Notamacropus eugenii: one gene and its partner. The protein of the gene in region 2 purifies or fractionates together with the protein of the main gene of each other region. This does not show direct contact. Links are inferred from orthologs where the notes say so. Each region holds a gene or a part of one and is shown on either strand. Other genes may lie near its edges.

Region 1 (16,012 bases), on a different chromosome or scaffold from region 2:
GAACAAGGACTGACAAGAGGCAGTTGTACAATGATGAACACCTGCCTCTTACTACCTATATGATCTTGAGCAGGTTCATTTTCTCATCCATAAAAGGGTGAGCTGCCTAGAAAACACCAAAGGCCAACTTTCAGCTCTAAATCTAGGATTCTATTATCTCTTGAGTTCTCTACACCTCTGTCATTCTATAGTTTTTTAAAGCAGGGACTATGTCTGGGCCTTAATAAGTATCTATTAAATTGCTACTCTTAAAACAACTGTATCACTCATGTGAAATACTAACTCCAAAAATTCAACATCAGCCTGAAGGGGCAGATTTATTTTCAGCGCAGTATCAAAATTTCAATTAAAATCCAACCCAAAAATATTTTTTCAAAACAAGAAAAAACATGTAGGGCTTGAACACGTAGGGCAAAGACAACTTCCTCCTCACTCTGTTATAACTATTGATGCCGCCTGTTTGAAACATTAAATTATACTACCAAAACCCATTTGGTCATCTGACCATGGGATAGACTAAAAACATTAAGAGAAATAGAACTTGGTTTCTTCCAACTCTGCAATTTATTAACTGGCTAATCTTGGGCAAGTAATTTCACTTTCTCTCAGTTTCCACATCTATAAAATGGGAGTGAGGTGTGTTGTGCTGTATCATTGGTTGTTCATCTGTAGTTCATGAACTTAAAAAAAAATTTTTTTTTATAATTGCATATCAATATAATTAATATCCTTGGTAATCCCTGTACTTTATAAATTTAAAAACCTTATTCTGTGCCCATTATTTTCACTAGAAACCAATGTCAAAGGGAGTCAGGAAACATAAAAAGTTAAGAATCCCTGTACCAAATTGCTTCTAAGGCCCCTTCTAGGTCTGAGTACAAGATGCCATCCTAAATTAACTGACTCAAAAGGAAAAAATGACTTTATACTAATCATGCTAGTTTGGGGAAATTTTTAAAAATTATCTCAATCTTCCTTCACACAGGTCTGAAAATTTTATTTTTTTGCCTGACCTGATTTACTAAAAAGCAATTCAAACTCTAAAATTATGGATTCAATAAAAGGATTTTTTTTGCTTATTTTTGCTGTAAAAACTAAATATCACAAATGTCTACATTTTAATTATTTGCTGTCCACTTAAAGTGACAAACTTTCATGATTCTATTATATTATATGCTTGGTATTCCTTATTAAAAAGAGGATCATCATAAATGTTAAATAAAACAAGTCTCTCTTAATTAACTGTCTTCAATATGCTATACACACAAAAGAAGTTGGCAAAACTAGAAATGTATAAGTCACACATTTTAAAAGCTAGACATCAGTGTAATAACAGTCTAACTGGCCCTGGAGTCAGGAGGGCCTGAGTTCAAATTCGGGCCTCAAAACACTTGACACTTACTAGCTATATGACCTTGGGCAAGTCATTTAACCCCAATTGCCCTGTCTTCCTCCCTCCAAAAAAAAAGAAAAAAAGCTTTCAAAGGTCTCATCTTTTATTAAACATAACCCCCTAAATAAATTCTTGAAATAACTAATAGCTCAGATATGACACACAGCAATCACTTTTAATTTTTAAAATAATTCTAGGTTTAAATTATAAAAAATAAACACAATTTACTTAAAATTATACCGTACTTACTTCCATACTCCACACAATATGAAACAATTAAAATAAAAATAGAAAAAATGTTTTTTTTTTTAAAAAGCGAAGAAATAGTACTGTAGCTGAGATAAATCAGCACCTACAGCTAAGCAACAAAAATAATGTGGTATTATGCCATTAGTCATAAAATAATTAAATAGTACTGAACTCTCAAGCCTCATCTACTTGGCACATGAATTATTTGAAGAGAGACTAAGAGAAAACCCCTTGAAAATTTATGAATAAACAAGACTTAACCAAAGGACTATTTCTGGTCAAGAAAACAAATAGAAACATTCGCAATTTTCTTTACATTGTTTTTCTAAATGTTCTTCCCTTCATTCATTCAGCTATAAATATTTACTTTATGAATTATTATGTGCAAGAAACTGTGCTAGGTGTCTATTGAAGAGGATAAATAAACATTAAGATACAGTCTCTAAACTCAAGAGAGGTTTTCTCCAGGCAACCACTGAATGGCCCCAAGAATTTTGGCTAGGGTTTATTGGAGCAGACCTAAGAAAGCATTGCAAAAATATGTGACTTTGCAAGATGCCTTTCAAGAAAATCTGGTCTGCCACCACAGCCCAAAATTGTCCACTTCACAAACCTCTTGGGTTTATAAACTAACTTCTACTGTTAACTGAAACAAACACTGGGAAACTGTTTGCCTTTAGAGATGTGGATAAAAAAACAAAAAAAAAAAGGAAAACTTAAAAAAATAATGTCTTACACTGTTTTTGCATTCGAGTCTTCATATATATTTAATTCCTTAATGAGAAATTGTCTCTCCAATGGCGTTGCTGGTTGACCAGATTCTGAAAAAGAAAGACTCTTTTTATGAAATCCTCAGGTACCATAAAACACAAATATAATCCTGCAAAGAGTTGCATTTTTAAGTTTTATGAAGTTATGGAAGTAAACCCTATACCATACAATCAAATGAATTTCCTAAGAGGATGATAAACAAAGGAGATAAGAAATCAGATCTGGAGGCTAACTGGTACTCTCTCAAAAATATTGTTAAAACACATACAGGAAGCACAGTAAAACTTTAACATCCTACAACTCTCTGACATTACTATGTGTTGCACTTTCTCCTAGATTAAGCACAAGGTAAAACCCCCCAACCTCAGACAGGCAGTACCTTCATGAATGATAGTGTCAAAATAGTTAACACTTTCTTCATAACCAGATGAGCAGAAGAAGTGGCATCAACGCCCACTCTACCAGTGAGACTTGACTATTCTTTACAGAACAGATTTAATAGGATAAAGACTGACAAAGTCCTTGTCCCAAGAGGCACACCTACTATGATCTCTGAAGAGGACTACTGGAAGGTGATGAACGGCCTTGAACCATAACCAAGTTTACTGTGTTTGTTAGGTTTCTGACTCTTCCCCACCCCATATGAGGTTCTGTGGGCAAACATACTGGAGTGCTTTGCTATTTTCTTCTCCAGCTTATTTTACAGATGAGGACATTTACATCTGAACTCAGGTCTTCCTGATTCCAGACCTGGCTCTCTATCCACTGTACTACCAGGCTGTCCATCAAATTGCTCCTTAAACTTTTTAGTTTCATCATTTCATTCCTTCACTAGCTTCAAAGGCAGTGAATGTCCAACAAATATTAAAACAAATAATCACAGAATATGTAATAGCATGTCCTCCCTCCCCTTAAAATGATGTATTCTGTGTTTGTCCTTTTCTCATTAAAAATTTTGCTTTAATCTCTCAAATGTGAAGATGGTTGTGTTATTCTACTTGGCAGGGCTTTAGAAATCTTATTTCTACATATATGCCAGTAAACTAAAGCATTAATGGAAAAATTTAGTGTAATATGTAAGAGCTTCAAAATACACTACTTAGTGTAGCAGAGATGAGAAAAATAGAGCTAGATGCCTGGGTCAAATTTTAAATTACACACCAGAAACTTTAAAATGATTTGTACCCATTTTTCAATTATGCATAATTTTTTCATGTGGATTATTTCTTCCACTTATAAAGTTCGCAATCCATTTCAGACTTGGTCTTTAAGAATTTCTATGACTGAAAAATTCACGGATAATTAAACCTCCTTAAACTTACCCAGACTAGTCTTTGGCTGAAAAACTCAGGAGAATTTTCTAGCTTTGCAGGATCTGTACTATGATGGCTTTAAAAATTAATGTTCAGTACATTCTAATTATGTTTCTCTCTTTAAAGTTCTACATTATCAAGCCAGTTAATCCTGACAAGGAACTCTAGCTCTATTTGACACCAAGAATACCTATGCTGATAACAGGAATACTGAACAAGAGATTGTTACCTAAATTGATTAGGAAAATACCTAATTATCACAAGAATAAGACTTTTCCAGAGATTAAAAACCAAGCATTTGACTTGTCAACAAAAAGGAAAAGATGCATGCATAGAGAGTTTCATTCCCAAAGTGAAGCAAGAAGGGCCAGGAGATCATGGTGCACTGTAACAGCCAAGTGCAATGATGACCACCTGTGAAGGACTTGATTACTCTGATCAATACAGTGACCCAAGACAATGCCAAAGGACTCATGATGAAAAGACTCTATCCACCTCCAGAGAGAAGGGATGAACTGAGTGCAAACAAACAGAATTGTCCTCACTTTCTTTAATTTTGCTTTTTGTTTTTGCAGTATGGCTAACATGGAAACGTTTTGCACGATTTCACAAATATAACTGATATGCCATCTCTGGGGTGAGAGGGAGAGAATCTGGAACTCAAAATTTAAAAAGAATGTTAAAAATTAATAATAATCTTTTAAAAGCAGTGCTTCATTTATCCAGTTGTTTTCTAGCAAGCTGGTTGGTCAGGCTTCAGAAGGAGATCAAAAGACTATTTCAGCTCTCAAGCAGCTAGATGGTGTTTTTGTTGACAAAACTGAATCATCAAGCTAAATCACACACACACAAAAAGAATTCACTTAACAAACAATCCACACTTACCAGCTGTAAGGACAGATGCTGAATACTTATATTTGTTGAACTCCAAATACTCCCGAATTAGCTCATTAATTAGGAGGTTTTCATGAGACAGGGGTGGAGGTTTTTCACCTTGATCATCTAGTGCATTAAAAACTTCAGCTCTGATCTTCGCTCTTAAGTGTCCCAGTACACCCCTTTTTTCCAGAGTATCCTTCAAAACTATTAAATAAGATACAATATTTTAGTGCAAGAATTGCAAGTGAAATAAATCATTGATCAGTCTTATATGCTGTTATGGAGCAGCTTGGGACACAGATCAAAGAAAATGAATTTTAAAGTACTACCAACAAAGCAATGAATGATGGCCTCGGACTGAGTCCTGAGGTTTCTTCTAGATGCTTTCACTGATCTCTGAGCCCAGCACCAGCCCACCTCCCTATGTCCCCCTGGGTACCATAAAGCCCTAACTCCAGCTCTCCCTACAGTTTTTAAGCTGTCAGCCATTTGCCAATAGTAACTTCTAAGATAAATTTTCCAGTAAAGTTTGGCTGATCCAAATATTCCCTACTGTAATTGAAGCAGTGAAGCCGTCTGCCTTTTAAATGACCTCTTTTCTACACGATGCTAAAACCCTCAATCATCTGTGTATGCAAGTATAGTCTGTACAAATATTATCAGCTAACAAGTATTTACAGAGTACCTATGCTCTATTTTATTTCTCCTTCACCTGCTGCATATAATGTCACCGTTATCACTGAAGTGCTGAAAAAATCCAAGAGACAGTTCCCTCTGAGAACTCTTACTCCAGCTAAACAAACCAAATTACACATTCATGGAATCTAAGAATTGGAAGAGGTCACAGACATCATCGAGTCAAAGTGTCAGGGCTAGAGAAGTGAAAATAAGTATCTAAGGTCACACAAGCACTTAGTATGGGAGCCGAGATAAGAACTCGAATCTCTAGAACCCTTCCCAGCCTTCACCAGCCTCCTGTTTCTGCAACGTCAATAACAGGAGAAAACACCCACATAGGGCAAAACCCTACAAAGATGCAAGGTGCTGTGGTTATCAGTCAGGGCAAACCAACAGCGAACAAAACCTCCCAAGCCGCTCCTTTAGCCTCTTTCAGTTATCTAGACTCTCCATGACCCCTTCTGGGGTTTCTTGGCAAAGATGCTGCAGGGATTTGACGCTTCCTTCTCCAACTCATTTTAAAGATGAGGAACTGAGGAAAACAGGGTTGAGGGGTTTGCCAGGGGTTCACAGCTACGACTTCCAGGCCTACGCCCTACCCACTGCCACCATCCACATCACATCCTGCAAGCTCTATGGTCAGGGGCAAATCCTGACCTTCTCAAGCGCCAGGGCGAGCTGAAGTAGCTGGATGACCCAGCAGACACAGTGGTTGGGACCTGAGACCTAAGAAGGCCTAAATTCAAATCCAGCCACTCAGAGCAATGCCTGGCAGGCAGGGGGAGCTCAACAAATACCTGTGGGCCAGTCCAATTCCCTAGATCCAAGCCTCCGGTTCCCTTACCTGTAAAATGCAACTCTTAAGAGGATCACAAGCTTGTTGTGAAAATCCAAAAAAAAAAAAAAAAAAAGGGTTACTGTTTTAACTATTAAAGGCTGAAAAGCTTTAGACTGCAGTGAGACTCTTAAAAGACAATAAGCATTTATTTAGAGCCTGTTATGCGCTCACCACTGCTAAACTCTGGGAACATAAAGGCAAAAGACAGTTCAAAGGAGACAACAAGCAATTAGGTACACATGAGCTAAATCTGCAGAGCGAGGGAAGCTGATTAACAATTAGGATGAAGAGGAAATAACCAACAGAGGGGGCAGGCACTAGAATCAAGGATCAGGACGGCCTTGCTGCGGAAGGTGGAATTTTAGCTGGGGTATCTTCTACTTTTTGAAAACCTGAGGTTTTATAACAAAAAATAGAAAAACCAGTTATCCTTGGAAGGTAAGGTGGACAGGTGTTTGCACCACGGAGGACCCCACTCCAGGTCCACGTAATCCCACAGCAGGGGGCATGGGAGGAAGGGGGGGGTGATAAGGGCAGTGAATCAAGTGAGCAGGGAATCTGGGAATGAGAGAAACACCCCTCCCCCTCCCCCTCATTCCTGGGGTGTTTTTGTCTCTTTTCGGATTCCCAGCGCAGGGCTGCCCCTCCCCCCATCTTTTCATAAAATAAATTACTGGGAGAAATATCAACAGCAGGCGCTCGATAAATGCTCACTGACCCATTCATCAATAATCATTTATTAAGCGCTTACTACGTGCCAAACCCTGGAGGAACAAAAAGTAGCAAATTAAAAGCAAAATCCCTGCCTTCTTAACGGGGGCACTGAAAAGCCCAGGAGAAGGCAAGCCGCGGCCCACCCGGGCCTCTCCGCCCCGACTCCGTCCCCAGCCCAGCCCCGCTCGGAGGCCGCTCCATCTGTGTCTCAGACTGAGCTGTCCGGCCTACGCGTCCGTTCCTCCGCTACCTGCTTTGAGTTCCGCCACAGTCGCCATTTTTCAACGGCCGCCCGGGAGTGAAGGGAAGAAGGGCGGGGCCTAGCCCCGCGCAGCGCGCATGCGCGGCACACCGCCCCACCCCCTCAGCGGGCCCAGAAAGGCCGAGGCTCCGCCCCTGAGTCCCCAGCCTATCACACGTCACATCCGGTGATCTCTCCGGTACGGGCCAATCGGGTGGCCTCTGGCCCGGGAAGCTGCCGTAGGCACGCGTGCTGGTGGAGAAGGTGTTTACTTCTGTGGGATTACGCGGGCTGTGCTTTCAGTTGGGGTGTTAGAAGTGATCGATTTATGGGAGCCCCTGGACAGAGAGGCGAGGACGGGTTGTGATGGGCGTCATTAGAGAAAGCTTCCGAATCCCTGAGGTCACCGGTGTAGACGAGTGTTTGCGCCGGAAGGAACGTATGGGGAAGAACTCAGGAGTTAAAGAGAAACATCCAGCTGGGCGGGTCGGATAAAGGCGCGGTGGTGGGAATGCCGCAGAAGGGGTCAGCCCCAAATGGCGTTATTTCATATGTATCTATGTACCTATATATACATATATATATACTTGTATGTGCCTATAGGAAGATGCAGAAATTGGAAGAGTAAGAATAATAACCGAGTTACGGAATGCTTTAAAATTAAGCACTTTATGCCTTTATTTAATTCTCAAATTTGTGAATGAAAATTAATTCCTTCTCCAAACAACCCTGAGATAAAAATCTAGTATATCCTCTTCAGAAATCAGAGAATCCTAAAAGCCACTTCACATCTTTTGGATCGGCTTATGGGACAAAGGAAAAGGGCTGTTGGAGGGGGTGTGGAAACACTGGAACACTCATTCTTTGTTGGTGGAGTTGTGAGCTCATCCAACCATCCCGAAGAGCAATCTGGAACCATGCCCAGAGGACAACTGAAAGCTCTGCATACCCTTCATCTAATGATACCCCTGCTGGGTCTATATCCAGAAGATACCCAAAAAAAGGGGGAAGAATCTATTTATACAAAAGTATAAGACAGTGGATAAGAACTGGAAATGAAAGGGATGCCCGTCCATTGGGCAATGGCTCACAAGCTGTGGTATATGATTGTAATGGAATATTATTGTGTCATAAGAAATAACAAGCAGGGTGATTTCAGAAAAACCTCCAAGACTTAGTGAACAGAACCGGAGTACATTGTATACAGTAACAGGAGTATTGCTCAATGAAAAACAATGAATGACAACTATTCTCAGCAATACAGTGATCCAAGATAATCCCAAAGTATTCATGTTGAAGCATGCCTCCAGAGACATAACTGATATTGCTTGAATACAGACTGAAGCATGCAGTTTTTCACTTTCTTTCATTCCTTTCGTCTTGTACAAAATGACTAATATGGAAATGTTATATATTATTGCACATGTCTAACCTATATCTGATGGCTTACTGTCAAAAGGATGGGAGGAAGGAAAGGAGGGAGGAAAGGATAGAATTTGGAACTCAAAACTAAAAAATGTTTAAAATTGTTTTAACATGTAATGGGGCAATAATGTATGCGTGTGTTTAAAAATCAGAGAATCATGAATTTAGAGATGGAAAGGATTTTAAAGGCCATTTGGTCCAAACCCCTAATTTTACTGGTGAGAAAACTAAGACCCAGAGAGAAGCCACACAGCTAGTAAGAAGCAGAATTTCAACACTGACAAGGCAGAGGCTATTCCCCATAATAAAATTATATTCTCTGCTCTCAAAAATGTTATCAAATTCTTTTCTGAGGGACTAGCAACAGGTTCATTCAATCTTGCTTACTGGGAGGATTAGAGATTAAGGTATTATTGAAATTACTATTTCATATCTCTAGGATCAAACTGCAGGTCATTTGAATTCAAAAGAGTAAGACTTCATTGACCAAGAATTAAAATGATTCATCTGTCAAACAGCCATTGCTGGGAGAAAAGGAACCTTCCCCACCCTCCAACCCTCCCAAAGGTGGAATTTTACAAATGGGAGACACCTACTTTATGGAACTACTTCCCTATGATGTTGGGACAGCTTTTTTTTTTTTTTAAACCATATTACATGCCCTATACATCAGGGACCTCTGTCCTGCAAGAACTTGAAAACCAAGCCCAAATTGTTGATTGAAGATTAATTGTAGGGAAATTTGCATTTTTGGACCCTAGAAACAGCACAAATGCTCTTATACCTGTAGAATGGGTACAATGCATGCTGAAGAGCCAACGGTTGCCTTCAAATATTTGGAACCTGAAACGTAAGAGGAGAGTTTGAACTTGATCTGCTTGGTCCCTGAAAGCAGAACTGGGAATCCTGAGAGCAAAGTTACAGGGAAGCAGATTTCAGCTTGATAAGAGGAAAGACTTCCTAACTAGAATACCTGGACCGGAAGTGAATGGATTGCCTACGAGATAGTGGATTCCCCTGCCCTGGTCTTGGAGCAAGTCCAGAGAGTCCACTCATCTTGTTTAAATATGCAGATACTTAACCAAGAATGGTGTTAACCCAGGACTAGGAATACAAAACAGCCTGGGGAGATAAATTAGGTCCACTCAAATCACCTTGTAAAAACAAAGTTTATTTGAATATGTAGGGGAGAGACTGAGGAGAAAGACCTTAGGACTGATGGCTGTAAAGGGAAGAGATGTTGGCACTTTACAAAGCTGCTGCTGGAGAGGCCCCCGCTGGACAGGAGACTGTTAGATAGAAGCTTAGTTGGAATTCAGCTCAGGGAGTGGTAAGGGGAGAAGCACACTGTGGGGGCTACCTCTAATATTCTTTCTAACTAGGTGCTAAACTCTAAATTCTGGTGCCCTACCTCTGATCACCTCACCCTATGTGGGCCTGTGGGTATAAATTACATTATATGACTTCTCTCATAGGCCTATGTACTCCAACCTCTGAGATCTCTTCCTACAATCAGATTTTACGATTGTATATGTATGATTTTTACCAGTACGTTGATCAGATGTCACCAGCCTTACAAAGGGGAGAAGCCAAGTTGTGGCTAACAAGTCTAGGTTTTCCCTAACACGAAGAAAGCAGGGATTGCAGCTGATTTGTAGTAGTAAAGCTGCACTCAAAAGGCTCAAAGCTATTTTCTCACTGTTTCTCTAATTAGAAATTCTTTTGGATTAACTTTCTCTTCTTTTAAAATGTAAATTCCTTGGTGTGGGTTATCCTTTTGAGTCATTCATATTTTAGAGTGAATTGCTAAACAGAACTTGAAGGAGCAGCTAGGTGGCAGGTAGGTGGCAGTGGGTAGAGTGCTAGCCCTAGAAAGAGTAAGGAAGACATCTTTCTGAGTTCAAATGTAGCCTCAGGCACTTACTAGCTGTGGGACCCTGGGCAAGTCACTTGACCTCAGTTTCCTTATCTGTAAAATGACCTGGGGAAGGAAATGCCAAGAAATCCCCAAATGGGATCACAAAGAATCAGACACGACAGGCATGATTGAACAACAACAAAAAAAAATCTATTTAAGATTAAGTCTGAAGGTTTGATTGTGGCCAGGAAGGAGGGCATAGTTGTCTTTCTTTAAGAAAGAAGTTTTATTAATGCTTTTTTTTTTTTACAACCCCTGTTTCCATAATATAAGAAGAATAATTTTCAATCTTAATATTCTTGGGAAAGGGCAGGCTTTTGGGGTCCCATATCAGGTCCCTTGAATGCTAGCCTTGTGGAAAGATCCCGAGGAAGACTCAGAGCACAGCTCACTGAGGCTATTGCAAACTTGATGCCCATAACTGGGAATCTAAAGGTCCTAAGGAGAGGACTGTATTTCCAGTAATATGGGATACAAAACTGAGATAAGGCAATCAGCCAGGTAAATTTGAAATATCTCTAGTTAAAAGGGGCTCTTTTACTTCAGATTCTCTTAAGAATAATAGGTCCCACCAATGCAACCAAGATTAGATGGAAAACAGAAAAGCTGGAGAAACAATTTTTATAGCAAGTATTCTGGTAAAGGCCTCATTTCTCAAAAATATAGAGAATTGAGTCAAATTTTAAGAATATAAGTCATTCTCCAATTAATAAATTGTCAAAGGAAACGAACAATCAGTTTTCAGATGAAGAAATTAAAGCTATCTAGTCATATGAAAAAATGCCCTAAATTACTATTGATTAGAGAAATGCAAATTAATACAACTCTGAGGTACCACCTTATACTTATCAAATTGGCTAATATGATAGAGAAAATGATAAATGTTGGAGAAGATGTGGAAAAATTGGGATACTAATGTGTTGTTGGTGGAGTTATGAACTGATCCAATCATTCTGGAGAGCAATTTGAAACTATGCCCAAAGGGCAACAAACGTATGCATACCCTTTGATCCAGCAATACCACTTCTAGGTCAGTATCCCAAAGAGATCGTAAAAAAGGGAAAAGGATTCACGTCTACAAAAATATTTATAGCAGCTCTTTTTGTGATGGCAAAGAATTGGAAATTAAGGGAATATCCATCAATTGGGTAATGATTGAACAAGTTGTGATATATGAATGTAATAGAATACTATTGTGCTATAAGAAATGATGAGCTGGCAAATTTCAGAAAAACCTGGAAAGACTTACGTGAACTGATGCTGAGTGAAGTGAGCAGAACCAGGAGAATATTGTAGGCAATAACAGCAACATTGTGCAGTGCTAGGGTTGGAAGCTCAATTCCATGTGGACAGTCTCGGGCGGGTAAAGGTGGGAACTTCTAAATCTTAGAGTTCTCACGAGACCCCCCAGGAAACGACTGGGAATCGAGGTGAACCAAGCTATCTCGTGTATTTCCGCCTCTTCCCGTGAGAAACGTGATGGGAGAGAGCTCTCCCCGCCCTCGAGATTGTCCCGGATCTGGGCACACTATTGTTATCTAACAGCACGGTATTCAGATGCAAACTATGCTGCTGAAGAGTTTAAGTAGGATCAGGAAAGCCTGAAAGTTCTCTTGGGCGGAGGGGCACGGAGCGGACAGGACAACAAGGCTCCGCTTTTCCTCTCTCCTCTCTCCCCTCCCCCTCTCTCCCCACTTACACTTCTACTTCCAATCTCTTATTGTAAGATCTTTGCCTCCTTGGGAGATTCTTCGCTCCCTCCTAAGGAAGAATTCCCCTGCACTTGTAACTAGACCCTGAAATAAAGCTCAACCCTTGTTTGACTCTGGAACGTCCTTTCTCTCATACGAGCATCCGGTTTGGCCAACCGAAGACCTCGGGAGGTGAGGTAAGAAGACTCGGGTAGCCCTCAGGCCTCTAGGCCTGGCAGTGCAGTGTTCAACTATGATAGATTTAGCTCTTCTCAGCAAAACAGCGATCTAGACAACTTTGAAGAACTTATGATGAAAAATGCTATCTACCTCTGGAGAAAGAACTGTGGAGTCTGAAGAGATGGAAGTATACTACTTTCACTTTTTTATTTTTTCCCCTTGGTTTCTCTTTTTTATTCTGTTTCTTCTTTTACAACGTGACTAATGTGGAAATATGTTTAACATGATTGTGTATGTATAATCTATATCAGATTGCTTGCCATCTTGGTAAGGGGGGGTGTGAGGGAGGGCAGGAGAAAAATTTGGAACTAAAAATCTTATTTAAAAAATGAATGTTGTAAACTATCTTTATATGTAATTGGAAAAATACTATTTACAAAAAGAAAAAAAGAAAAATAATAATAGATCCCTTTGTACTTCTATCATCTTTCCGCAACTTTTCATCCACTTCTATTTGAAACTAACCCCACCCTAAGTCCTATCTCTCCTGCCTTATGATCAGCCCTTGTTTAAAATCACCTGATTGAATAAACTATGCCCCTAATCTGAACCCTGCCAATAACCAAGATCCTTCTTTACCTTCTTTCATGCTTTTGCATTCCCATTCTTTTGCATGCTAGGATCTCCAAGCCCTTTATCCCTGTCTTCCAGGCTTTCACCCCTGTTCTAACCTCATTTTCCTCGCTTCCCATGTTCATCCCTATTGTTAACCAGTTCATCTCTACATGACCTCTGTTCCACTCCTTGTTGCCCCACCTGTTCTATAGAACCTCATACCTTGCAAATCCTAGGCCTTTATTACTCCCACCATCTGCTTCCTTTACTGCTAAATTTGCTGCTAAAAGAAGCTGAAGTCCATCAGGAAACCAAAGTGAATGAGAATCTCTGACAACTTTATTATATGATCTCAACTGGGCACTTAGCAAGGGCCCTTTTATTCCTCCCTAATTGATTCTCTATCTCACTCCCACAGAGGTTGCTCCAGACCTTTCCTTCTTTCCCCTATCCAGTCTTCCTTATCTTTCTCAGCTGAGGACCTTGTCTTTTATCTTACTGAGAAAATAAGAAGCCATCGGTGGCGAGCTCCCTCTTCTCCCCTTCTCTATAATTCAAAATATCCATCCCCTGCACAGTTCTGCTTTTTCTCTAATTCTTAGCCTCTCCCTATTTATTTCTTCTTTCTCTACTGTCTGCAAACAAACCAAGCCTCTCTATCCTGAAAAAAACCAAAAAACCTTACTAAGCCCTAGTACCCACTTATGCTATTATCTTCTATCTCTCCCTCATTTCACAATTGACCTCTTAGAAAAAGAGGCATCTCATTTCTCAACTGTTTGCAATGTGACTTCAGAATTTCTCTCTCAAATGAAGCTGTTCTTTCTTTCTTGTCACTCTCTTAATCACCAAATTTAATCACCTTTTAATCATCAAATCTGTTGTTTTTTTTATATTTCTTATCCTTTGTAACTTCTTTGCAGCATTTGGTGTAATTGATTACCTTTTCTGCCTGAATACTCTGTCTGGTTTTTGGTTTTCATGACATTGCTGTCTTTTGTTTCTCCTTCTATCTATCTCATGGCGCCTTCTCAGTCTCCTTTGTCGGTTCATCTTCCATATCACATCCCCTCCCCTCACTATGAGTGTATGTCAAAGTTCTATCCTGGGTGCTTTTTTATTCTCTTTCTATATTCTCTCACTTAGGGGCCATTTAAGCTCCCCTGGGTTTAATTATAATTTCAATCCAAATGATTCACAACTCTAAATTAACCCTAGTTTCTAAACTCTTAACTTCCAAACAAATATATGCAACTATCTATTGGATATTTCAAACTGGAAGTTCTATAGGCATCTCGGATTCAACATATTTAACTCATTATCTTTCCCTTCTAAATTTCCTGATTTCTGTCAAGGTCACCATCATCCTTCTGGTCATAAACAGAAGAATGCTTCTGGCCAGCTTCATCTAGCCTTGTAATTGCTGACACAGAAAGGAGCATTTTGAGTTCGCTTGGACAGTGAAGCAAAGCATATCTGTTCTGCCAGAGCACAGAAGGCGTTATGGTAGGTTAAGCTCAGAGTGGGCCAAAATGTCTTTTTCTTAATTGATCAATCCAGGTTTTAGACCTTTCTCAGGTGACGGTATTCAAAGTGGTTTGGGGAGGTTTTTACATTGTGCATTGCTCCACTTCCTAGACTCTGTGGTCCAGCCAAACTGGCCTTTTTGCTGCTCATACACCATACTCCATTTTCTTTGTCTATCCTGATTTTCCCCCCTTTTAACCCTGTAAGGACACATTTTAAGGGGGAGGCCCAGATCAACCATGTCTTTATTCTCTCCCTCTCCCCTTCCTTTTCAGTTACTTTTTATGTGCTGTCTTTCCCTATTAGAATATAAGCTCTAGTTTTGTTTTTGCTTATATTTGCATTCCCAGCTCTTAGCATAATCCCTTGCTCCCAGTAAGCACTTAATAAATGCTTCCTGGTGTCCGGTTGTGGCTGCTGTAATTTGGAGATGACTGAGCGCAATGAGGGTGGCCCTGGAATAGACCTGTTTTCCTTTATTCAAATCCACTTTCATATAATGGGGAGCATTCTGATTCCTTCCTTCCTTCCTCCCTCCCTCCCTTCCTTCCTTCCTTCCTTCCTTCCTTCCTTCCTTCCTTCCTTCCTTCCTTCCTTCCTTCCTTTCTCTCTTTCTTTCATATTATTTTATTGAGCCAGCAGAGTGGACATGGACTACTGCTAAATTGTTGTCCAGGCTACTAAATCCTGGAATTGAATATCTAGGGAACCAAAGGAGATCACTCAGATGAGAGAGCAGAGAATCACATTTGAAAGCAGACTAGAAACCTCTTTTAGAAAAGCAAAGCCTGACTGGAAGCAAATAGACAACAGGATTCTCCTTGTGCTGCTTTCTATAATTATATGAATAACTATGCATCTGTCATCCAAATCCCAGAGATATTCCATGGACAAGTGGATTGCAAATGACTACCTTAGGTTTGAGCCTTATTGTAATGAATGACACAAGGGTTTTCTCCTGAATAGTTAAAAGGGATGAGAACACTGTACTCAGTTGATAAACAGCAGAACTTCAACAATAGAAAGATTCCAAGAAAAGGAAGAGAACAGGGCATCCCCTTCAGGAAATTTACCCTTGAACATGAAATTTTGATTTCGATACTAAATAGGATGATAAAAGTTATTTGGGCCAATGGCTTATACAAATAACCCCAGATGTTCCCACAATGTAGGAAGTGCACTATGAGGTCCTTGGTCATACATGTATAGAAAGACCAAAACCATGAAACCACAGGCCCTACATGGGCTTCATCATAGCAAGTGATGGCAGGCTCTTATTTCTCATTATATCTCAATGTCCAGTTAGGTTATATTTGTCCTACTCTCTGGCTTCTCCTCCTTTGACTCATTTTTTTTCACCTGTAGTGTCCTTCCTCTCATTACATAAATTCCGTTCATGCTCAAGGCCAAGTTTAAGTTGTGTCTTTCACGTGAAGCCTTTCCTGCTCTCCACAGCCAATATGAATCTCTACTATCTTCAAACTCTTACTATATGTATTTGCAGTCATAAAGCTGGTAGAAGTCATTTGAAGTAATACCATATTCCATGAATCACCTCCACAAAATAATACCAATAATAG
Region 2 (16,314 bases):
GCACAGATTAGCCTCAATTCCAGCCTACAGCCTAGTCTGAAACCTGTGAAGAAATAACCAAAGCAGGAATCCTTGACCAAAGTGGGAAGCCTGTGGTGCTCTCAGTTTGAACAGGCAAAGCTTTCTAGCTGGTTACTAAGGGCTGAATCCAGGAGCAGTCTATTGATGCTCAGACCCAAACCCAGGTCAAGAACTTGCAGAGCTCAGACCATGAGGCAGCAATCAGACTTTGTTTGGATCAGATTACTCTGGAAGCACTAAAGCTCATAGATCCCCAGCCTGAGTTCCTAAGCTCTTGGTCAATACCTCAAGAAAGCAGCAAGATGATCAACCCAGGCCTTCCTTCCAGAAATATGCAGAACCTTGCCCTACCATAAAATGTGAAGACAGAAAGTAGGTTGGAAGAACAAGGAAATAAAAAAAAAAATCCCACCATAAAGAGCTGTTCCAGTGACAGGTACACTTAAGAAACAAACCCATAAGAAGAGGAGTCCAAAATATCGGCAAACAAGGCCTCAAAGAAAAACCTACAAATCGGGTTTTGGCCACAAATTCAAGTATAGTTCCTTAGAGAAATGAAAATTTTAAAAATTGCTTAAAATTTTTTTTAAATGAAAAAGCTAGAGAAAAAAATAAGCTATGAAGAAAGAACTGAAAAAGAAATTCAGAGCTTGGAAAAAAAGGTACAAAACCTTGCCCAAGCAACAAATTCCCTAAAAATTCAAATGCACGTAGAAACAAATGATTCCATGAGATAGCAAGAAACATTAAAACCAAGTCAGAAGACTGAAAAATCAAAAAAAATGTAAGATTATCTCATAGCAAAAATAACTTAAATGGAAAACAAATCAAGGAGAAAAATTCTAAGAATCGGACTACCTGAACAATAGGACCAAACAAAGGGGAAAAACATCCCCCAAAAATCTTGTTGTTCAGTCATGTCCAATTTTTTGTGACTTCATGAATCTCTCAAAAACTAGAGGGCAAAGTGAAAATAATCCACCAATCATCTCCTGGCTTAATTGGGGAGGACAGGGTTTGGGATTAGAGGGAGAAAAGGCAAATTTTTGCTCATTAAAAAAAAAAAATTTTTTAAACCAAGGTCACTTACGCAATGTAAATTACCAAAGAGATGACCAGTGCAGATGAGGACACAATAGCTAGAGTCTGATGTTTTGAAGAAAATTTTAAAAAGGTGGAGATACTGATCAAAAAAATGTAAATGCTAATAAAACAGGCTTCTTCTGAGATGCTTTCTAGAACTTACATTTTTAAAAAAAGAAAAAACTCAACCTGGATTTAAAGTGACTAAAGATTCCCTTATTGGAGGAAGAGGAAGAAGGCAATTTTTAATTAAAAACAATGATTGTTAGTCAGTTCTGAAGTCTTCAAGTTTTCGGAGGTGTCATATGACTATTACTTCTAGTTCACTGGCTATGAAATGAGACTGCAAGGGTCATTAAAGCTTTTTTTGAAGACTGGTCTTCAAGTTACTTTAGGCCAGGTGTTGAAAAACATTACAAAGACAACAATATAATGTTTAAAACATTACTGATTTTAGATAATTCATCAGGTAATTCAAATTCATTGTATGAGAGTATGAGATGCAATTTGCTGAGATATGGATAAAGCTCTCTGAACTTCACCAGATATATATATATGAAGATTTAAAGACTGTAGGTTATTCAGATTTTAAATAACAACATTTTTATCTTATTATTCATCACCATAGCTGATCTTTGGGTACAATTTTCAGTAATTTTAATTTTTTTTATTTTTGCTTTCTATAGTTACTGTATTACTTTGTAACAAATAAATCAAAAATATTTTAATATCCTCTGTAATAGTATAATAAACAGATTAAAACCTTATTTTAAAAATTTTACTGAATATTTCCATATTTCCAACAACTACCATAGTCTACATGTAATTATTCTAAAAGCTAAGGGTATAACTACAAATAATATAAATTTGAATGATGTGACCACTTCAAAAAATTCAATTTGCAGTAATTGGGACTTAGCTGAACTGTAAGTTCATGAACTTTTAAATGAATTTGTTACTGAAAACTCATTATAGAACTACTATCATTTGAGAATCTGAAATTTTTTTCCCAATTACAAACGTGTTCTCATACTTGAAAAGTTTGGGAACCGCTGTTCTAAGGCATTTAAAGTCATTCGGCAACTCTCAGTCAATGTAAGTGCTACAAAATTCAACATCAAGAATAATTCTATGATATAAAGAACTATAGTATCTAATGGATGGTTAAAAAAACAATTAAATTGATTCAACTCATTTAAACCAATATTGAAATAAAATAATCGGATTAGACTGAGATATCAGGCATTTATATGGTTTTTAAGGGAATTTATTAAAATATTAATTTTCATAAATTTTATCAGTAATAGCTAATATTTATATAGTGCGTCAAAGTTTACAATTATTTACCTCCATTTTACAAATAAGGAATATGAGGCAGAGGTCAAAATATCACTGAGTGATATCAATAAGGCAGGATTCTACCAACTAAGGTCTTCCTGACCTCAAGTCCAGATCTCTTATTCACTCTGGCATCCAGATGCCAAATACCAGTTAGTTAAAATATTCTTGTTTAATTTGCTTTGAATTATGCTACTATCTTCCATTCTTCTATTTGCATTACCAAACATAAAGGCATAAACTTGACAGAGGTTTAAATTTCACCTCTACAATAATTACAGTGACACAGTGGTTGTTGTTTCCTTCATTCTTGAAGAGGACATGACATCAGAAAGGTGATGCCATGACAGGATGTGAACTGGATTTAAGTGAGGAGCGCTGTGTAAAGTCACCCACCTCACTCTCTCCTTTGGAACCATAGGGGTACAGCGGAAAGATAAGACAACTGGAGATGGTCCCCATGGGACTAATTACTTAACCTCTAGGTCTTAGGAAATTCCTTAAGATTTACATACTAATTCATGGACAGATGGCAATCTGAAGGGGTAAAAGATGCTTCCCACACTGAGGAAGTCTAAGATTCTTTGTATACTCACATTACAATAAAGGAAGAAAAATTTTAAGAATAATCATTTTTTTCAGGAAAAGAGAATGAAAAATTGTTAAAAATATACTGGAATTGTATTTGGAAAAAAAATCCAATTATTTAATTCAAACTAAATAATACAAATTAAAACACTATTTTTTCCCATAAAAGAAAAATAAAACTGTCATGTATATACTTCTAGCAAAATATATGAATCGTTTACCTTTTTGGTTCTCTTTTTGAATCTTTGAAGTCTAAAAAAAAAAGGAAAAGAATTAGTTTCATTCAACTATGGTTAGTAAACCAAAGTAGATTTATAGAATCTAAAAAAATCCTACCAATGATTTGTAGAAACTGGATTTGGGGTTGATTTTAATCAGCTGGAGTAGATCTTGCATAGTAAAAACCTTTTGAAAAGAAAATTAAAAATTAATGGTATAAAATTCTGTCATTTTAGGTATGCTAAACCAAAAAAAACAAAAACAAAAACAGAAAATATAGCAACATTCAAATTAATAGTACAAATATAACTATACTAATAAATTTGATTTTTATACACAATGACAAACACTGAACCCACAAATTTATCATACTTACATAGCTTTTATAGCAGAAAATTCAAAGAATTTATTAAATGAATGAACACATAGGATCAGAACCTATTAACACTTATAATAAAAGCTAACATCTGTATAATGCTATGTGCCAAGCACTCCGCTAAGCATTTTTCACAAAAATTATCTCATTTGATTCTCACAACTCTAGGCAACAGGTGGCATTAGTTCCCTGTTTTACAGATGGAAAAACTGAAGCAAACAGAAGATATGACCTACTTCAGGTCACACTGCTAGTAAGTTCCTGAGTGTCTCCAGACTGGACACTGATCCACTGTGCTGTCTAGTTGTTAGTTATAAAAATAGAGAACAATATGAATTTAACATATTTTCACATTAGTCCTGCTGTATAGAAGAATTAGACTGAATGGGAGGAACCATGAGAAAGGAAAAACAAAACAAAATAAAACTAAACAAAAAAAAGAGCAAATAGTATCCTTCCACCTACATTTAGGTTCGATAGTTCTTTTTGTGGATGTAGATAGCATTTTCCATCATGAGCCTTTCGGAGTTGTTTTGCTTTGCTTTGCCTTGCATTGCTGAGAAGAGCTAAGTCTATCAAAGTGAATTATCGAACAATGTGGCTGTAACTGTGTACAATGTTCTCCTGATTCTACTCCCATCACTCAGCATGAGTTCATATAAATCTTTCCAGGTTTTTCTGAAGTCTGCCTGCTCATCATTTCTTACAGCACAATAGTATTCCATTACATTCATATGCCACAACTTGTTCATCCATTCCTCGATTGATGAGCATCCCCTTGATTTCTAGTTCTTGGTCATCACAAAAAGAGCTGCTATAAATATTTTTGTACATATGGATCCTTTTCTCACTTTTATGATCTTTTTGGGATACAGCCCTAGAAGGGGTATTGCTGGGTCAAAGGAGATTCTGGTATGCACACATAGTTCCAAATTGCTCTCCAGAATGGTTGGATCAGCTCACAGCTCCACCAACAATGAATTAGTGTTCAACTCTCCCACATCGCCTCCATGTTAGCAAATCTGATACGTGTGATGTGGTACCTCAGAGTTGTTTTGATTTGCATTTCTCTAAACAATAAAGATTGAATCTACTTTTAAAAAGGAAAATTAATATGCAGTATTTCTTACATAATATCAGTAGCTCTGGTATGAAAAAATTCAATTTAAATTATGAGTAAATTAATATAACTAACATCTATAGCATTTCATGGTTTACAATTTGTTTTCCTTATTACAGTGGTAGATGGGTGGCTACCTTTCAATTTCAAAATGATTAAATCATTCATTCAGATAGTAAACTCAAAAATTTTTCATGATTAAGGCAGCTAGCCTGGAGTCAGGAAGAGTTGCATTCAAATCCCAACCTAAGATACTTACTAGCTGTGTGACTCTGGGCAAGCCACTTAACATTCTTTGCCTCAGTTTCCTTATTTGTAAAAGGAGATCAAGAAGGAAATGGCAAAACACTCTAATATTTAATGGGATCACAAAGAGTCAGACATAACTGAAACATCTAAACAACAAAATTATCATATTCATTAATGGACATAGGGATAAAGCTGGTACACTGCTTCAGGGTGAACCACAACTTGTCCCAACCTGACTCTTGGTGTCCCCAGAATGCAACTAGTTGAGTGTACCAAAGGATTTAAAGTATTCATTTAGACTATTCAAAGAAGGTCCAAGCTGCCTAAGATACACTATCTAGGAATGACAGGAATTCCTAGGAACAGGTGAAAAATCTAAAATATTTTTATTTAATCAACATATTAAATTGAGTTGTTTCCTTCCTCCAAACCAGAATACTGAGTATCTTTCTCCACTGAGACTGATTCTATTTTGTTGATTTCCAGTCAGATGTGATGGAGAGGAGATTCTGGTTGAGAACCCAGACATATTTAAGGCTGATTTGAAGTACTGTTTTACTAAAGAGAGGAAAGTAAAAGACATTTTATCCAAGTGAATTAAAAGGTGGAGAAGGGATGATTACCTTTTCTTTTTCTAAGCCACTCTCAGGAAAGAAAACAGACAGTGAATATTCATAGCCACACCTGCGCAGGTGATCAGCCACAAGGCTATTAGAAGCCCCAACTAATAGTGAGCTTCCTTCAACAGCAATGACCTGTGGCTGCACTTCTCCACTCAAAACAGGATGCATCAACTCATGTATAAGCTGGTTTCGAAGTTGAGTCTACCTCAAAAAAAAAAAAAGGAACATATCAAAAATCTTACTAAAATATTATTTTTATTTAATAAAAGTATCGGCGATATTAAACAGAATGTTTCTTTCCTTCAACCCAGAAAGGTTCTTTTCCTCCTACAATAAGAATCAATTATCTTTGTACATTACACAGTGATTTTTACCCAGAAGAAAACAGAAGTAGCCGCCAAAAGACCTTACAAGGCAATTATTTTGTCATCTCATTAAAGAAATAACAGTGAGCTGGCTGCAGAGATGAAAGAACTGTATACATCTATCAGTTGGTACCTATTATCTTCTGGATGTCAAGAGTTTTAATCATTTCCAACAAGCACCTTCAAATACCACCTTAAGTGGCAGGGTGTGCTAGCTCCTCCTACCTGTGAAACCAATTGTTAAATTGAGAAATAGGCAAAATACAAACGAGGGGTAGACATACTGTTTTGTTGATAGTCTGGACATAAAGTGATGGAGAAAATGTGAATACTACAAAATAGTGAACTGTGAATACAGTCTTAACATTTACCAGCACTTCCCTGATTGTATCAGTTTAACTTTTTAATTTTTTTGTTTTGTTTTCTTTCCATAAGCTGTAACAGGAGGGTTTTCGGAAAGAGAAATTTTCTCCTTTCCTCTTACGAACAATAAGCAGAATAACATCCCCAGAGTTTGCTGCCAAAATGAAGCACTTTATTTACCCAAAACTTGAGATTATCCCTTCACTACCTACAAAAACGGGTTTACAAAAAAAACAAAAAACCTGTTAACGATTTAAAATTTAATAAAATTAACATTCTGAACATGCCATTTTTTCAACTTCTAAGAATGAATATCAGCCCTACAAAATGTTACATTATCAAAATGCTTCTTTTCTTAATATAATTACTTATTTCTATCTGAAACTTGTCCTTAAATGTATGCAATAATTAATTCAAGACTTCAAAAGGAAACCACACAATTCAAAATGGATACACGATAAAAAAAATAAAAAGTCCAATCTAACACGGTACCTGGGTGACTACTATTAAATTCACCCATCCTTGGATATTCCCATCTCATATTTTTTTGTCTATTATAAAGCAAACACATGCCCCAAAGGTACCTTGAGTGTGTCCAAAATACCCCGGTTCTTAAATGTCTGGTACAGTCTCTTTCGGAGCTCATCCTGAGACAGCGCCTGAGTTTCAAAAGGCATCTTGAACTGGAAGAGGAGACGGTGTCACGGGTTAGTCGGAGGTGGGGGAGATCCCTCATGATTTCAAAAACAACGTCAGGGACGCCAAAGACCTCAGCAGAACACCCCCGAAGTCATGAAAAGGGTTTGTTTTCCGGACACCCCCACCCCGGCCCCCACCTCCCACGAGGGACTGGTGTTTCTCATGTTTGCCCAAAGCCTCTCGGGGGAAGGAGAAGGGGGGGGGGGGGAAGCGTCCTCCAGCCCTTCGGGGACGGCCTTTAACCCCCTGGAGGCCACGTTCCCGAGGGGGGGGGGTGTCCCCGAAAACCGGCGACGACGAAGGGCAGTGAGATACTGGAAGAGGGAGAGATCCGCTTTCTCTTCCCGCTAAGCTGAGAGGCCGGAGGGGAGCTCAGGCCGAATCCAGTCATCACCTGACGGGGCCAAAGACTCCAGAAGAAAGCCTGGGCTATTAAACCGGGAAAGGGATCCCGGCGACCGAAAGGGAGCTTTCACAGGTTTGGGTGTACAGCCTGCATTGACTGAGGGCTGCTACTCTAGGTGGTCCTAAGGAACGTCCCTCCAGACCCAGTCACGCCGCCCGGGCCGCCGCCGCCGCCGCCGCCGTCGCGCAGGCGCACTCGTCCAGCTGTTAAACGTCTCAGCCTCCCGCCAATCCGCGGCGGGCTCAGTTCTCGCGAGAACTGGGGCGCCGCAGAGCGCCGCTAGAGCTCCCGAGGTCGAAGTTCTACCTGGAGTTTGACCGAGGGAGGTCGGGGCTGGTGTGGTTGGGGCAGGTGTCGCGTCCTGCCCACAGGTAAGGACCGGAGAAGGCCTAAGAGAGGCTGATTGAGACGGGGAGGGTGTCCGGTGCCCGTGCTTATAGCAAAGCCCCGCCCTCCTCTTCCTCCTCCCCCCTCCTTTTCTCACTCTCCTTCTCTCCTTCCCCTCCCCCCAGGACCTCTAGGACCATCCCCCCGTAGGGTTAGAATTGAAGGGGTAGGAGCCCCTCCTCTAAGAAATGGGCGAGTTTCTGCCCGCCCTATTTACCTGGTGCTGGTTGGCCCTTCTGTTGCCTAGCAAAGGGTAAAGTGCTGGCCGACTTTCCACGGTTTTCTCCCTCCGCCGCCTGGCACTGTGTCTTGATGGCGATACCTTTTTCATAACTTTTTTAAAATTACTCAGAAGGCAGGCCTATTGAATTTGTTTCTCCAACGAACTCTACCGAGATCATTGTATTCAGTCCCTCCACCGTTATGGGCGGTGAATTTGTTTTGTTTGCTTCCTGGATGTCCTCCAGGAGCATTTGGTTAAGATGCGTGGATCGCCAGTCGGGTAATAAAGATCGATGAAGCTTGTGCTGCGGGCCGGCCGCTGTGCTGAGCCCCGGCCGCTGTGCTGCGGGCCGGCCGCTGTGCTGCGGGCCGGCCGCTGTGCTGAGCCCCGGCCGCTGTGCTGAGCCCCGGCCGCTGTGCTGCGGGCCGGCCGCTGTGCTGAGCCCCGGCCGCTGTGCTGCGGGCCGGCCGCTGTGCTGCGGGCCGGCCGCTGTGCTGAGCCCCGGCCGCTGTGCTGCGGGCCGGCCGCTGTGCTGAGCCCCGGCCGCTGTGCTGCGGGCCGGCCGCTGTGCTGAGCCCCGGCCGCTGTGCTGCGGGCCGGCCGCTGTGCTGAGCCCCGGCCGCTGTGCTGCGGGCCGGCCGCTGTGCTGAGCCCCGGCCGCTGTGCTGCGGGCCGGCCGCTGTGCTGAGCCCCGGCCGCTGTGCTGCGGGCCGGCCGCTGTGCTGCGGGCCGGCCGCTGTGCTGCGGGCCGGCCGCTGTGCTGAGCCCCGGCCGCTGTGCTGCGGGCCGGCCGCTGTGCTGCGGGCCGGCCGCTGTGCTGCGGGCCGGCCGCTGTGCTGCGGGCCGGCCGCTGTGCTGCGGGCCGGCCGCTGTGCTGCGGGCCGGCCGCTGTGCTGAGCCCCAGCGCCGGGAGCTCCCGGTCCGATGGGGCGGACGAGAGCAGGACAGCTGCGTGCGGACAAGCTGCGCACAGGTTAAATTGGAAGTCATCCACAGAAAGAAGGCCCAGGAATTAAGGGGAAATCGGAAAGTAGAAGGTTTAGGATGTTTTTGTTTAGGATGTGTTTGTTCTCAGGAGACTGAGAAGCATTCAGTCAGGTAGGATGAGAACTAGGAGGAGGGAGTGGTTAATATTACCAAAAGCTGCAAAAATCTAGACGGAGGAGGTCTCAGAAAAGATCATGCAGTTTCATGGTAGAAATGAAAGGAACCTCTGAGGTTTTCCAGCCTTATTTTAATGTTGAATTTTAATTTAATTAATGAAGCCTCAACATTTTAGAGTTGATAACATTGAGACCTAGAGAGTAAATGACTTGCCACGATCATTTGTAGCCAAAGTAATTGGCTGGGGCAGGATTTGAACTGTGATCCTCCCTTTCCAAAGTCAGCATTCTGCACGTGACTGTCATTGAATGGAGCAGTTTCATTGTCATGACAGATTGTTAGCCGTTTCCTTATATTCAGCCAAATTTATTTCCCCATAGACTTACCCTTAACTTGATCTCCTTTAACCAAATACCAAACGCCAAACAGTTACAAAGACTGATCCCGCTTTCACATAATAACCCTCCACATATTTGAGATTTGCCAGGCAAAACAATTTTCAGCAATTCTTGATATGGCTTGGTTTTGTTTTGTTTTGTTTCAGATCCTTCACTATACTGGTTTTCCTTTTCTGGGTGTTTCCAGTTTCATCTAAGTTCATCTTAAAATTTGATGTTCAAAAGGGAGTATGTAATTGCATCATGTGTTAGCAGTGCACAGTGCATTAGGGTTATTACAATACTCCCTTGTTTTAGACATTATACTTCTATTAATGCATTTTAGCATTTGCTTATATGCCAGCCACATCGTACCATTAATGTTGAACTTGTAATTAAGTAAAAGTTGTAAGTCTTTTTTCACATAAAAAGTATTGTTTCCACCTCTGCAACCTTTCTTTCATCTCTCTTACCTCCCTCCCACCCCAAGTGAGTATTCTAAGCAGCAAACAGGTGTGTGGAAGCAGTGTATATGTTGGGAAAAGATGAGAATTTAAAAAGAAAAGGCATCAGTCAAACTTAAAAATATATCTGGCAAGAAATGAACCTCTACTAATATCTCACATGTAATACCTAAGTGAATTTCAAATGGATGATAGACTTAAACATAAAAAGAACTATAGAAAAAATGGAAGGGAAAGGATAGAATGTCATATTTGTTTCAATCTTTAGGGGAAATATTTCTGTTACAGAAATAGAATAATTAGTGGAGAAAAGATAAGTTGCTTGATTACATTAAAAAAAGTTTCTGTACAACAAAAATGGTATGATTTTTTAAAAATGTCAGATTGGAGGAAATTTTTACAGCCAATATCACATACTAAAAACTTGGCATCTGGACTAGAGAATTGTTAAAATTTTTACAGAAACAACTCCCTGCCCCCAGAGGATAAAAATAGGCAATTTAAAAGCAAACACTAATTGTTAATAACTACTTAAGAGTGCCCAAACCCACTATTAACCAAGTAGATGCAAATTTTAATAACTAAGGTGCTACCTCATGCTACATCACACTTAGCAAATTGGCAAAAAAAAAAGTTAAATGAAATGTAACAAGAAAGTCACTGATCCAGACAAAGCTCCTTGAAAGCAGACAGGTATTTGTCTTTGTACTTTAAGTATACATTAAATTTAACATGGTAAAACTGGCACTGCTAAGCTTGTCAGAATCCTCTTCTAATCTCCCATCTGTGAGTGTGTGTGTTTCTTTTAACGTTTTACTGATACATCTTTCATTTCTTTGTGTATATGTGTCAATTCTTTATAATTCTCCTGTCCAAACCTTCCTACTCCCTCCAAGCACTCCTTTGTAACAAAAAAGTTTAGTGAAGCAAAACAAATCCACACATTGGCATTGTCTGAAAATGTGTATCTCATTCTTATGTGGAATAATTTTCATTGTAAAAACTTTGGAAGAAACCTAAATGTCCTAAAAATTGGGAAAGGTCATATTAATACAATGAATATTATAATTCAATTACGAATGGTAAAGAATTGAAAAAAATCTTTATGATGAATATGATGAAATGATGCAAGGGGAAGCCCAAAGAACAGAGTACATGCTAACTATAATCATTTAAAAGTAAATGAGAATTAATAGGTAAATAAACCTGGAAGAAACTTGAGACATTTTATGCTTTAAAATGCCTTTAATTAGATGTTAATAACCAAAAAGCAAGTTTAATTGTTACATGGATTAATTTAAAGCTTATAATAAAGCATTTTTAAAATAAAACATTTTCTGTGTCCTTAATCTCTCCCCACTGCTTATAATATATTAGACATTTTAATTTGTTTTTCTATCTCTCACAGATGATCTCATTAATTTTGCTTCAGTAACATGCATCTTCCATGTAAATTTATGATGTTTTAAGATCGCTAGATTTACATTTCTATTTTTAGCATAAAATTCACAAAGAGATTTGTTATCTCATTTACTTAGGACCTGTATATTGGAGACAATGTCTGGAAGTTTCTACTTTGTAATTGTAGGCCATCATGATAATCCAGTTTTTGAAATGGAATTTTTACCAACTGGAAAAGTGGAATCTAAGGTGTGTATGCAACTTTAAAAATTCTTTAAAGTGATTTTGGTATTGTCATGATAAATATGGGCTAAGATCTTAGTGATGAAACAGACAAGGAAACTAATGTCTAATGAGTTGGAGTGATTTACTCCCAGGTCACACAGTAAGGTAGATATAACAGCCAACATTAGAACTTTACTCCCAATTCAATAAAACTTTCTGCTGCACAGTGTTTCCTCTTATTTAAAAAAAAAACAACAATGAAAGCACGACATTCTATTTTATAGTACAGTATCAGTGTGGTAAGAATTGATGTCTTCAGAGTAAAATGAAAGTTATACCATGAGTCATCAGATTTCTTTTCAGGGCATAACTAAATTATAAACCCCTGAGTGAAAGGGTTAAAGAGGTTTATTACTTTATATTGTTCCATTCTTCTTGAATATTCACCCTAACATTTGCTATATTCTATCTCCCATCTCTGTGGCTTTGCAGAGTTATCCCTCATACCTGGGAAGCTCTCCCGCTTCAAAGAATCCCTGGATTCTTCCCAGATCATCTCAGTTGTCATCTCCTAAAGAAAGGAAGCTTATCCTGATTCCCAACAGTTACTAGTTCCTCCTCCCCATCCATTATCATGAAATTACTATGTATATTTTGAATTTACCTTTCTGTGAACATGTTTTTCCAAACAAATATTTTGACAAATTTCTTGAGGGAAGGTAGTTTGGTTTATACACCCAATGCCTAGTATACAGTATGCATTTAATAAATTTCTCCTCTTCTGGTAATGGATATGGAATGCATAAGTATGGAAGAAAACATTTGTTCTTATATTTAATCTATATGCTAAATAATTCACATTTGGCATTGTTTACTAGAACACAACATATATGGCATCTAAAGGTTTTATGCTTTTGATTCTTCTTTAATTTTCTTCTTTAAATTTATTTATTTATTTAACTTTTAACATTCATTTTCACAAAATTTTGGGTTCCAAATTTTCTCCTCCTTTGTCCCCTCCCCCCACCCCAAAACACCAAGTATTCTAATTGCCCCTGTCTGCCAATCTGCCCTCCCTCCCTCCCCACCCCTTCCCTTTGGAAGGCAAGCATTTCAATATAGGCCAAATATGTGTAGTTTTGCAAATGACTTCCATAATAGTAGTGTTGTGTGAGAACTAATTATATTTCCCTCCATCCTATCCTGTCCCCCATTACTTCTGTTCTCTCTTTTGATCCTGTCCCTCCCCAACAGTGTTGACCTCAAATTGCTCCCTCCTCCCCATGCTCTCCCTTCCATCATCCCCCCCACCCTGCTTATCCCCTTATCCCCCACTTTCCTGTATTGTAAGATAGGTTTTCATACCAAAATGAGTGTGCATTTTATTCCTTCCTTTAGTGGAATGTGATGAGAGTAAACTTCATGTTTTTCTCTCACCTCCCCTCTTTATCCCTCCACTAATAAGTCTTTTACTTGCCTCTTTTATGAGAGATAATTTGCCCCATTCCATGTCTCCCTTTCTCCTCCCAATATATTTCTCTCTCACTGCTTGATTTCATTTTTTTAAGATATGATCCCATCCCCTTCAATTCACTCTGTGCACTCTGTCTCTATGTGTGTGTGCATGTGCGTGTGCATGTGTGTGTGTGTAATCCCACCCAGTACCCAGATACTGAATAGTTTAAAGAGTTACAAATATTGTCTTTCCATGTAGGAATGTAAACAGTTCAACTTTAGTAAAGTCCCTTATGACTTCTCTTTGCTATTTACTTTTTCATGCTTCTTTTCATTCTTGTGTTTGAAAGTCAAATTTTCTTTTCAGCTCTGGTCTTTTCATCAAGAATGCTTGAAAGTGCTCTATTTCATTGAAAGACCAATTTTTCCCCTGAAGTATTATACTCAGTTTTGCTGGGTAGGTGATTCTTGGTTTTAGTCCTAGTTCCTTTGACTTCTGGAATATCCTATTCCATGCCCTTCGATCCCTTAATGTAGAAGCTGCTAGATCTTGTGTTATCCTGATTGTATTTCCACAGTACTTGAATTGTTTCTTTCTAGCTGCTTGCAATATTTTCTCCTTGACCTGGGAACTCTGGAATTTGGCCACAGTGTTCCTAGGAGTTTCTCTTTTTGGATCTCTTTCAGGAGGTGATCTGTGGATTCCTTGAATACTTATTTTGCCCTCTGGTTCTAGAATCTCAGGGCAGTTTTCCTTGATAATTTCATGAAAGATGATGTCTAGGCTCTTCTTTTGATCATGGCTTTCAGGTAGGCCCATAATTTTTAAATTGTCTCTCCTGGATCTATTCTCCAGGTCAGTTGTTTTTCCAGTGAGATATTTCATATTATCTTCCATTTTTTCATTCTTTTGGTTTTGTTTTGTGATTTCTTGGTTTCTCATAAAGTCATTAGCCTCCATCTGTTCCATTCTAATTTTGAAAGAACTATTTTCTTCAGTGAGCTTTTGAATCTCCTTTTCCATTTGGCTAAGTCTGCTTTTGAAAGCATTCTTCTCCTCGTTGGCTTTTTGAACCTCTTTTGCCAATTGAGTTAGCCTATTTTTCAAGGTGTTATTTTCTTCAGCATTTTTTTGGGTGTCCTTTAGCAGGGTGTTTACTTGTTTTTCATGCTTTGCTTGCATGTCACTCAGTTCTCTTCCCAGTTTTTCCTTCACCTCTCTAACTTGATTTTCAAAATCCTTTTTGAGCTCTTCCATGGTCTGAGCCCATTGGGTGGGTTGGGATACAGAAGCCTTCACTTCTGCGTTTTTCCCTGATGGTAAGCATTGTTCTTCCTCATCAGAAAGGAAGGGAGGAAATGCCTGTTCACCAAGAAAGTAACCTTCTATAGTCTTATGTTTTTTCCCTTTTCTGGGCATTTTCCCAGCCAGTGACTTGACTTCTGAGTGTCCTCTCCACCCCCACCTCGCCTCCAGATCTGCCCAGCCAGCACTTGGGGTCTGAGATTCAAATTCTGCTTCCCAGCCTCAGGGCTTTGGGCGGGGGCAGGGCTGCTGTTCAGTGTGAGATTAAGTTCAGGTGCTCAGGTCAGGGCAGGGCTGCCTCACAGGCTCTGTTCCCTCAGGGGATTTATGCAGAGACCTTCAACAATGGATCCGGGGTCCTGCCTGCTTGGGGAGCCCTGGTCTGCTCCCGCCTCTGCTGCTGCCTCCCAAGGGGGCCTGAGTTATGGGGGCACCCCACTCCACTCTCGACCCTCCAAAGAGACCCTCTCACCGACCCTTGTCACCTGTGGGTGGAGGGACCCGCGCGGCTGCTGGAGATTCTGTCCCTGAAGCCTGCTCAGATCTGCTGCTTTCGGCGCTGCGCTGCCGAGGCAGGGTTGGGCTCTGCGCCGGGTCCGGGGCGTGAGGGACCCCCTGGGAGAGGTTTTCAGGCTCTCTGGAGCAGAAATCTCGTCCGCTCCGCTCTGCGGACTTCTGCTACTCCAGAATTCGACGGTGGTTCCTTGTTTTTTACAGGTATTTTATGGGCAGTGGGTTCAGAGGTAGCGTATGTGCGTCTTTCTACTCCGCCATCTTGGCTCCGCCCCCCTCTTCCTTTAATTTTCTACATACTTTGGTGGGTTGTCCTTGAGGTAAATTAGTCGTGCTAAAGCTTATCTGATGTCCACAGAATGTGAGTCAGTCAAAAAACATTTATTAAGCTTCTACTATGAGCAATGCACTTAGCATGCAAAATGCTAGGGACACAAAGAAAGACAAAAGACAGTACCTTAAGCTCAAGAAGTTCACACTCTAATGGAGAAGCCAACATGTGGGCAAGTGTATATAACATTTTGTTCTTATCAAGCCCCCAACTGCAGAGTCTCTTGTGAGATCTCTAATCACTCCTGTAACTTCCTTAACTTCTTCTCCAAGACTTTGGATGCTATACCACTTGGAGCATATATGTTTAGTAATGAAATTGCTTCATTGTCTGTAGTACCTTTTAGCAGGATATAGTTTCCTTCCTCATCTCTTTTGATTAGATCTATTTCTGCTTTTGTTTTGTTTGAGATTAGGACTGCTACCCCTGCTTTTTTTTACATCAGCTGAAGCACAAAATATTCTGCTCCAACCTTTTACCCTGTGTGTATGCCCCCTTTTCAAATGTGTTTCTCGTAAACAACATATTGTTGGATTTTTTGGTTTTTAATCCAGTCTGCTATCCATCTCCATTTACAGGAGAGCTCATCCCACTCATGTTCACAGTTGCGATTACTATCTGTATTTTTCCCTCCATCCCCTTTCCCCTTGTTTATGCTTTTAGTTCTCCCTTCTCTCTTCCCCTCCACAATAGTTTTAATTTTTGACCACTACCTCCCACAGTCTTCCCTCCCTTCTTTCAGCCTCCCTCCCTTTTAATCCCCTTTTCCCTTACTACTTCTTCACTCCCTTTTAGCCTCCCCTCCCTTTTCTTTCCTCCTTCCTCTCCTACTACCTATAGAGCTAATTGTATTTCTATTCTTAACAGTTTGTTGTACCCTCCTTGAATCCAATCAGATGAGATTGGAGAGATGAGTACCTCTCAAACAATGCTCATCTCCCTCTCCTCTTTCCCTCTACTGTAATTTATTTTTGTGCATCTTCCTGTGTTGGAATTTATTTTTTTCTGCCTCCTCCTTTTCATATCTCCCATTACAATCCCTTTGTGCCCTTAAATCACATTTGTTATCACATCATTT

What was found.
Region 1: the proteins of OFD1 (region 2) and CEP20 purify together in Homo sapiens (co-immunoprecipitation; 3 studies listed by BioGRID and IntAct, with this or other methods). This does not show direct contact. The link is inferred for Notamacropus eugenii from reciprocal best matches to the Homo sapiens genes OFD1 and CEP20.

The regions. Positions count from the first base shown.
Region 1 is NC_092872.1:96,249,456-96,265,467, forward strand, and holds the start of CEP20 (centrosomal protein 20), read right to left. Parts: upstream 7,251-16,012; 5' UTR 7,114-7,250; coding exon 7,086-7,113; intron 4,810-7,085; coding exon 4,612-4,809; intron 2,464-4,611; coding exon 2,379-2,463; coding exon of another isoform or gene 2,375-2,378; intron 1-2,374. UniProt on the Homo sapiens protein: Involved in the biogenesis of cilia. Required for the recruitment of PLK1 to centrosomes and S phase progression.
Region 2 is NC_092876.1:377,229,674-377,245,987, forward strand, and holds the start of OFD1 (centriole and centriolar satellite protein OFD1), read right to left. Parts: upstream 7,679-16,314; 5' UTR 7,439-7,678; intron 7,420-7,438; exon of another isoform or gene 7,029-7,419; 5' UTR 7,023-7,028; coding exon 6,930-7,022; intron 5,823-6,929; exon of another isoform or gene 5,819-5,822; coding exon 5,618-5,818; intron 3,436-5,617; coding exon 3,367-3,435; intron 3,283-3,366; coding exon 3,252-3,282; intron 1-3,251. Other genes in the region: TRAPPC2 (trafficking protein particle complex subunit 2), read left to right, coding at 11,563-11,655. UniProt on the Homo sapiens protein: Component of the centrioles controlling mother and daughter centrioles length. Recruits to the centriole IFT88 and centriole distal appendage-specific proteins including CEP164. Involved in the biogenesis of the cilium, a centriole-associated function.